Caenorhabditis elegans: one gene and its partner. The protein of the gene in region 1 purifies or fractionates together with the protein of each later gene. This does not show direct contact. Each region holds a gene or a part of one and is shown in the gene's direction. Other genes may lie near its edges. The genes, in order: ncbp-1 and prp-38.

Evidence for each region.
Region 2: the proteins of ncbp-1 (region 1) and prp-38 fractionate together in Caenorhabditis elegans (co-fractionation; one large-scale study listed by BioGRID). This does not show direct contact.

What each region holds. Positions count from the first base shown.
Region 1 is NC_003279.8:6,419,974-6,423,899, forward strand, and holds the start of ncbp-1 (Nuclear cap-binding protein subunit 1), read left to right. Parts: upstream 1-2,084; 5' UTR 2,085-2,132; coding exon 2,133-2,157; intron 2,158-2,213; coding exon 2,214-2,308; intron 2,309-2,353; coding exon 2,354-2,869; intron 2,870-2,918; coding exon 2,919-3,188; intron 3,189-3,299; coding exon 3,300-3,522; intron 3,523-3,615; coding exon 3,616-3,733; intron 3,734-3,776; coding exon 3,777-3,855; intron 3,856-3,905; coding exon 3,906-3,926. Other genes in the region: rbx-2 (RING-box protein 2), read right to left, coding at 876-1,039, 1,648-1,772, 1,827-1,876. UniProt on the Caenorhabditis elegans protein: Component of the cap-binding complex (CBC), which binds cotranscriptionally to the 5'-cap of pre-mRNAs and is involved in various processes such as pre-mRNA splicing and RNA-mediated gene silencing (RNAi).
Region 2 is NC_003283.11:10,804,435-10,808,360, reverse strand, and holds prp-38 (Pre-mRNA-splicing factor 38), read left to right. Parts: upstream 1-2,326; coding exon 2,327-2,456; intron 2,457-2,501; coding exon 2,502-3,209; intron 3,210-3,394; coding exon 3,395-3,519; 3' UTR 3,520-3,640; downstream 3,641-3,926. Other genes in the region: plrg-1 (Pleiotropic regulator 1), read left to right, coding at 466-529, 575-692, 764-1,328, 1,382-2,059, 2,105-2,164; secs-1 (O-phosphoseryl-tRNA(Sec) selenium transferase), read left to right, coding at 3,887-3,926.

The sequences.
Region 1 (3,926 bases):
AAAAAGGTCTCGCCACGCGCGCTGCATGTATGAACAAAGATTTCTGCACGCGCCCTTTGAAGTTACTGTAGGAAATTTTGATCGATTTTTTCAACTTTTTTTTGCAAAACATTTAATACTATAGTCACTTGTGTTGTAGAAGACAATTACTCATATGTCTACAGTAATCTTACAGACTCGCACACAAAATAACTGTTTTATGAAGGGAGCGCGGTGAGACCCAAGGGACAATTAAATCAAATAATATCATTGCTGAACTCTTCAGACTCACTCTTGATCATCATCATCAATTGCATCTTGTCTTCGAAGTATTGCTCTATTTCGTTTTTCTGCATCTCCACGAGCACTGAAACTTCTTGTCAGATTTCCACGTGTCACTGAAGTGGATGGACTTTGACTTGGTCGAATTATCACTGAACGGACACGTTTGAAGACTCCTTGACGGTGGAAAAACTCTGGAAACTCGGATAATTTTCTATAAAATATTCAAACTGTAAATGTTCTCACCTGAACTCATTCTTAAATATATCTATCTCAGTTTCAGTAAAATCTAGAAGTATCTGTTCGTATAGTCCGCCAGACAATCGACCATGTCACGGCTGGCGTCTTTTGTTTTTCTTTGAAATTTTCAGAATCATTTTTTCTATTGCTCTGCTTCTTTGTGTTCATATTCGTGTATATGTCGTCTGTGTGTGTGTGAATTTTTATTTACAGTCATTATTTTTGTGAATGGGAACAAAGTGGAGAACGGGGTGAAAAATGGAGAGGGAAGAAGTGGGTGAAGAGACAATTTACAGACAAAAGTTCTTTTGAAAAAGAGTCGAAAAATTACATGTAAATTGGGAAAGAACGTGTAAAAGTAGATAATTGATACATTATTTGCTCGTGCGGCTGACGACCCAATCCTTTTGACACAGTGGGCATCTGTTGTTCTGTCGAATCCACTGAGTCATGCAACAATGATGGAATGAATGATTACAGTCTCCCCACACTACGTAGCATTCAGCACTTGGTTCAGATTGACAACGAAGACACTCTTCTGAAAAAAGTTGTTCATAATTATTGGATTAAATCTCATTCTGGTAGTGTGGATCTCCTGCTCCCTATGCATATTTTTAAAAAATGTTGATTTTAAATATATATTTGCAAGCTAAAAAAAAAGGACAATATATTTCAATTTCGACATAGTTGTATATTACCTATTCTGTTCACGAAAATTTGCGTGTTTTTTACTTTCAAAGCAAGCACTTTTGCTTGTTCCTGAACTTTTAAATACAAATATATCTTTCAAAAGAATACTTTTTGAACATATCACTAAAAAAATTTAGCTGCATATGAGCACTTCGAACTAGTAAAAAGTCGATCTGAACTTTTTCAGTGCATTTTTCCACTTTTTTCAAGACCTCTAGAAATGCTCCAAAATATTTTTTTTCGTAAGTTTGTAATGATATTTAGGGGTAGAGAAATATTATGGAAGATTTCTGTAGAATTGTGTTTTTTTAGAGAAAAAACTGAAAATTTTTTTAAACCAAAAACCATCATAAAATTATCTGCGACATTTTTATCTCACAAAATATCAAAAAAATAAGTTTTGTTATATTTTTGAAGCGATTCAACTTTTTAACCACTGAATTAAATAAAATTTACCCATTAAATGTACTCTGCAGATTGCACATGTGTCACATTCAACATCCCAGGCCCAAACAGCTAACGCATTCCATTTTTTGAGCACAAAAGGACGACTTTCAGACGGATTCGCGGTTTTTTGCTTTCTGAAAGTAATTTATATTTCGAGAATTTAATTGAAATGGAAATAATTGACTTACTGAGCACTCGTACTTCCTTCTTGTGAATCTGCATTGCTTGAATTGTTCATTTTTTTTGCAATAATTTATTGATTTATTGAAATTATTGGCAATTTAAGACCGGTTTTGTTTTTTGCTGCATAAACAGAAGTGGCGTTGAGAAGAAGAGGCGCAGAGATGTCAGACAGTAACCTACGACACTGCGCTGTTCCACACGCGCGCCTTGTTTAGAATATATTCAATTTCGAATTTTCCATCGGATTTTTTTGCGATTTCTCAAGCAAAACCAGTGAGATTTAATCAGATTTTGTTCGAAAAACAACGAAAATGTCGCGGAGAAGGCAATTCGATGGTAAGCTACTTCCTGCATTGTTTAAATCTTGTTTAAAAAAATTAAATGATTTTCAGATGAGGATGAAGTTCAAATGAAAAGACGTCGCGGGGCTCCACTAATCGAAGATGTAGAAAAAAAACTGCAGGGAGTCATCGGAAAAGTTGGAGAGGTAAGACATAAAACATCAATTTCCAACCAAAATATGTTGTTATAGAATACTGGCTCATCGATCGAATGCAATTTGGATAAACTCACAGCTTTTTTACATGATGATCTCGAAAAATATCGGGCTTCAATTATTGATATTATTGCTGGATGTGCCATCTATCTCCCAAATCGTGTTACTGTATACACAACTCTAGTTGGTCTGTTGAATTCAAAGAATTTCAATTTCGGAGGAGACGTCGTAGAAAAATTAATTTCTGAGCAGCAAGATCTTCTTTCAAAACAAAAATATCAAGAGGCTCAAAATCTTGCTATTTTCCTTTGTGATCTTGGAAATTCTGGAGTGCTCACAGCTCAATCAATTGGAGAATATTTGGAGAGCTTCATTGCAGCTGCTTTTGAGGAAAACATGCCTCAAGTTCGTAATGATTATTATATCCAAACAGTTCTTCGTTGTCTTCCATGGATTGGTAAAGAATTGACTGAAAAAGCTCCCGAGCAAATGGAGAATATTGGAGAAGCGATTGGAAAGTATCTCGAGTTGAGAAATAAAAATCACGTTGCGGTAAGATTAATATTAAACTTGTTAATAACTAAAAATAATATATTTTTAGCTTCTCCAAGTTTGGCGGGAAGGCTCGACAGATCAAAAACAAGAAGATTATCTCGAAAGTTTATCAGCTCAGATTGAAGCTCTTCGTAATGCGGATTGGGTTGAAAATCACATTCCTCGACATTATTCTGGTTTTGAAACCACCCTTCAAGATGCCCTCCAACATAATTTGCCAAGTTTTCAATCTCCAGAACATACCTCGGATATGATTTATCCATATCCACTGGTCGTTTTCCGTCTGTTTCAAGACGCGGATTGTTCCGCCTTTTCTGTAAGTGCAAATTGAAACTGTCTAAACTGTTCGTTCATTTGTCTTTTTAAGCAAGGAAATATCTTTTTTATTTACTGAAAATTATTTCAAAGGGTCTATTATAATTTTCAGAGTAAACCCCTTCCCGGTGATAGTTCAATAGATCGTTTCCTCTTCGAAGGTGAAATCGCTTGGATCATTGAAAAAAATCAATTTAATAGAAAAGCATGTGCTCGTGAACTTCTCGCTTTCGCAGAAGAGAATCCATCTGTTCCTATTGGATTCCTTATTTTCGAAACTATTTTCGGTCAAATGCTCCGTCTACCACATGCCCCATATCCAGCAATATTTCATTGTAAGTCAACATTCTTCATTAAAAGTCCATTAAACCTCGATTTAGCGGGGGTTTAATGTAGAATCCAAATAACTAAATTATATTTTCTTTCAGGCTCTCTCGTTCTCGAACTGCTAAAGCTTAAACCAGACGACTATCCACAGATTCTTGTTCAAACTGTTGAGTGTATCTATCGGCGCGCAGATTCAATGCAACCAGTTTGTATTGACAGGTAAATTATATTTCAAATTTCATATTTCAATTTTATTTTACAGAATGGTTGATTGGTTCAGTTTCCATCTTTCTAATTTCCAATATCGATACACCTGGACAGATTGGAAGGATTGTTTGAATGTATGTTTTTATTTTCTATTGTTCATAACATTGCACGGTAATATTTGCAGAAAGATGCATTTTCCGGCAGT
Region 2 (3,926 bases), on another chromosome or scaffold:
TTTTATGTATATAGGCTTTTAGAACATGGTTTTTTCTATCCATTTATCTATTTTTAATGTTTAATAATCTTCATTATTAAGGATTTTAGCCACAGTCTTCGTTCTCATCTCATTTTCCATCGCCCCGCCCCCTGTGGAGACGCAGAGACATTTTCTAGCGCGCTCTATTGCGAAACATTGTCCTCACAGTGTGCAGTGCTGAATGCTTATTAGAAAAAATAATCTCAAATGAGTAATGTGTGCCGCGGTCTTGCAAACATTTGCGCGGGGGTATTGCAATTGTGTCCCGAAACCACGCCCACTGGTTATTCGAAAAGCGGTGGTTTTGAAAATAAAGGTTGTATCATTGTTTTTGTTTCTCCAGTTTCCTTTAAAAGCAGAATAATTTATTCACTCTGTACTTTTCCTATTTTTCTTCCAAAAAGATAGTCTTGAGCCACTCTAATAGTCTTGTTTTAAAGAAACATGTCTGCAAGCGTTTCCGATCCGTATGAACAAATGCCAGCTGCTCCAACAGATGATGATCTCGGTTTGTTGGTAGTTAAAATAATTAAATAATAAATTCTTAATTCAGAGGACAAACCGGAAGCCGACAAAAAAGCATTACTCAATCAAGTTTTTAAATCGTTGAAAAGGGCACAGGATTTATTTTATCACGATTATGCACAGCCACCTCCAATGCCAGAAGAGAAGTAAGTTCCACATTTTCAAATTGTTTTCCTTGATAACTTAAAAAAGCTTAAATCTACAAAAATAATTTCAGTGACAGTCTAATTCGGTCAATGAAAAGAAAGCACGAGTACGGTAATGTTATTAAAAAAGTAGAAGAAATGAAAGTGAGACGAGAAAATGAAATGCTCGCTCTCCCAACATCGCAACCGATGCACGGTACAGGATCAGTGATCGCATCAGCTGGAACCCCATTGGCTATCACAGATGGATCAGGAAAACTTGTTAATCAGCAACAAGGATCAGCAAAAAGTGGAACACTGCTTCCTTTGGTTCCACTTGGTAACAGTTCAAAAGGAGAAGACAATACAACTCGATCGCTTCTTCCTTCAAAGGCGCCTATGATGATGAAACCAAAATGGCACGCTCCATGGAAATTGTATCGTGTAGCTTCGGGACATACAGGATGGGTCAGAGCAGTTGATGTTGAACCGGGAAATCAATGGTTTGCTTCTGGCGGAGCGGACCGTATTATCAAGATTTGGGACTTAGCGTCTGGACAGTTGAAGTTATCATTGACTGGTCACATCAGTTCTGTAAGAGCTGTAAAAGTTTCACCAAGGCATCCTTTCTTGTTCAGTGGAGGAGAAGATAAACAGGTAAGATAATTTGTCTCTAATTAGTGATCTGAACTTCCAAAATGTGTTTTTAGGTTAAATGCTGGGATTTGGAATACAACAAAGTGATCCGTCATTATCATGGGCATTTAAGTGCCGTCCAAGCTCTTTCAGTACATCCATCTCTTGATGTTCTAGTCACCTGCGCTCGTGATTCTACAGCTAGAGTTTGGGATATGAGAACAAAAGCTCAAGTCCATTGTTTTGCTGGTCACACAAACACCGTCGCAGATGTTGTGTGTCAATCAGTTGATCCACAAGTAATAACTGCTTCTCATGATGCGACAGTTCGTCTATGGGATTTGGCCGCTGGACGTTCTATGTGCACATTAACTCATCACAAGAAATCAGTGAGAGCTCTGACAATTCATCCACGTCTCAACATGTTTGCTTCTGCTTCCCCAGATAACATCAAACAGTGGAAACTTCCCAAAGGAGAATTTATGCAGAATCTTTCTGGACATAATGCTATTATCAATACACTGTCTTCCAATGATGATGGTGTTGTTGTATCAGGCGCTGACAACGGATCGTTGTGCTTCTGGGATTGGAGATCTGGTTTCTGCTTCCAGAAAATTCAAACAAAGCCTCAACCAGGATCAATAGAATCTGAAGCTGGGATCTACGCTTCGTGCTTCGACAAGACAGGTCTCAGGCTTATTACCGCTGAAGCTGACAAGACAATCAAAATGTACAAGGAAGATGATGAAGCAGTTAGTTTTGGAAAAATATATTTTACATTAAAATTTTTTTTTCAGACAGAGGAAAGCCATCCAATTGTTTGGCGACCAGAAATTGTCAAAAAGAAGGCGTACTAAAATATTTTTTACCTGTGTTTCTATTTATCTGTTAACTTACACCTGAAAAATAAAAAATATATTCTCAACATTTCTCAGATGCAACAATACTATGACCGTACATAACGGTTTCGATATCTTTCCACCGTTAATACTTCTATTGTTTATAAATTAAAAATTCAGATGGCAAACCGCACAGAGAAAGCGGCGAAAACCGTCAAAGGTACAAATCCCCAGTTTCTCGTCGAAAAAATCATCCGGCAGCGTATTTATGACAGCATGTACTGGAAAGAGCACTGTTTTGCGCTCACAGGTAAGTTGTTCTTTGCTATTCACTAATTTAACATTATTTTTTTAGCTGAACTGGTCGTGGACAAGGGAATGGATCTTCGATACATCGGAGGTATCTACGCAGGAAACATCAAACCAACTCCTTTTTTGTGCCTCGCTCTCAAGATGCTACAAATTCAGCCGGACAAGGATATCGTTCTTGAATTCATTCAACAAGAGGAATTCAAGTATATCAGAGCTCTAGGAGCAATGTATCTTCGACTTACATTTGATTCAACCGAAATTTACAAGTATCTCGAACCATTATATAATGATTTTCGTAAATTAAGATATATGAATAAGATGGGTCGATTCGAAGCTATCTACATGGACGATTTCATCGACAATTTACTTCGTGAAGATCGCTATTGTGACATTCAACTTCCTCGTCTACAGAAGAGATGGGCTCTTGAAGAAGTAGACATGCTTCCGTCATATAAGTCACTTCTTGATGGTGATCTTGTTGCAATGAGTGATTCTGATTCTGAAGAGGAAGAAGTCACAAAGAAGGAGAAGCCACGTTTGACATCTAGAAGACGTAGTCGAAGCAGAGATCGCGAAAGAGATGTTGGTGATCGACGAGAAGTTCGTGAACGAGAAAAACTGAAAGAACGAAGAGAAAGAGGAGACGATGAGCCAGGGCCAAGCAGTAGTGGTAGTGGTAGACGTGATGATAGAGATGACAGAAGAAGAGATCGTGATAGAAGCCGGGATAGAGATCGTCGAGATAGAAGAGGTAATATTTTTAATCAAACATTCTATGGTTTTCTGATAAAAACTTCACGGAAATCTGAATAATCCCAGATTTTATTTTGGTTTTATAGATATAGTCAAGCATGTTCATTTAGATTAACCAGAAAAAATTATGTTGTCAATGTATGTTTTTAAAGGTACCATGTCATGAATAATTTATATTTGCAGATGATGATCGTCGTGATAAGAAAAAAGAATCTCGTCGAGGTGGTGCAGACAACGATGAAGAACGCGAAATCGCAGAAGCGAATGCACTCCGTGCCAAATTGGGATTGGCTCCACTCGAGCGATAAATCTGTTTTTCTCAATATTCGAGCCTCGTTCTAAGTATTAATTTTATTTATTTCATTCACATTTTTCGTCCAGAAAAGGATACATTCTCTTTTATTCCGACAATGAATCCTAATAATTGAACACATTTTTTTTTGCCAAGAAATTGTAACCCGCCATATTTTATATTTCTAAGCACCAAACACATCGACTTGTCACCCACTTTCCAAAAAAAAAGCGAAGAATTAAAACGTCATGTAAGGTGCACTTTTCTCTTTTGTCCGAAACTGCAAAGCAAGAAAAAATGAGGACCAATCGGAAGTGGGCAAAAGTTCACTTCTTCCCACCTTCTAAAAAAGCTCTTATTTACTTGCTCAAAATTTTCATTCAATGTCATTCGAAAAACTTCTGATGAATCTTCCCGGGCATA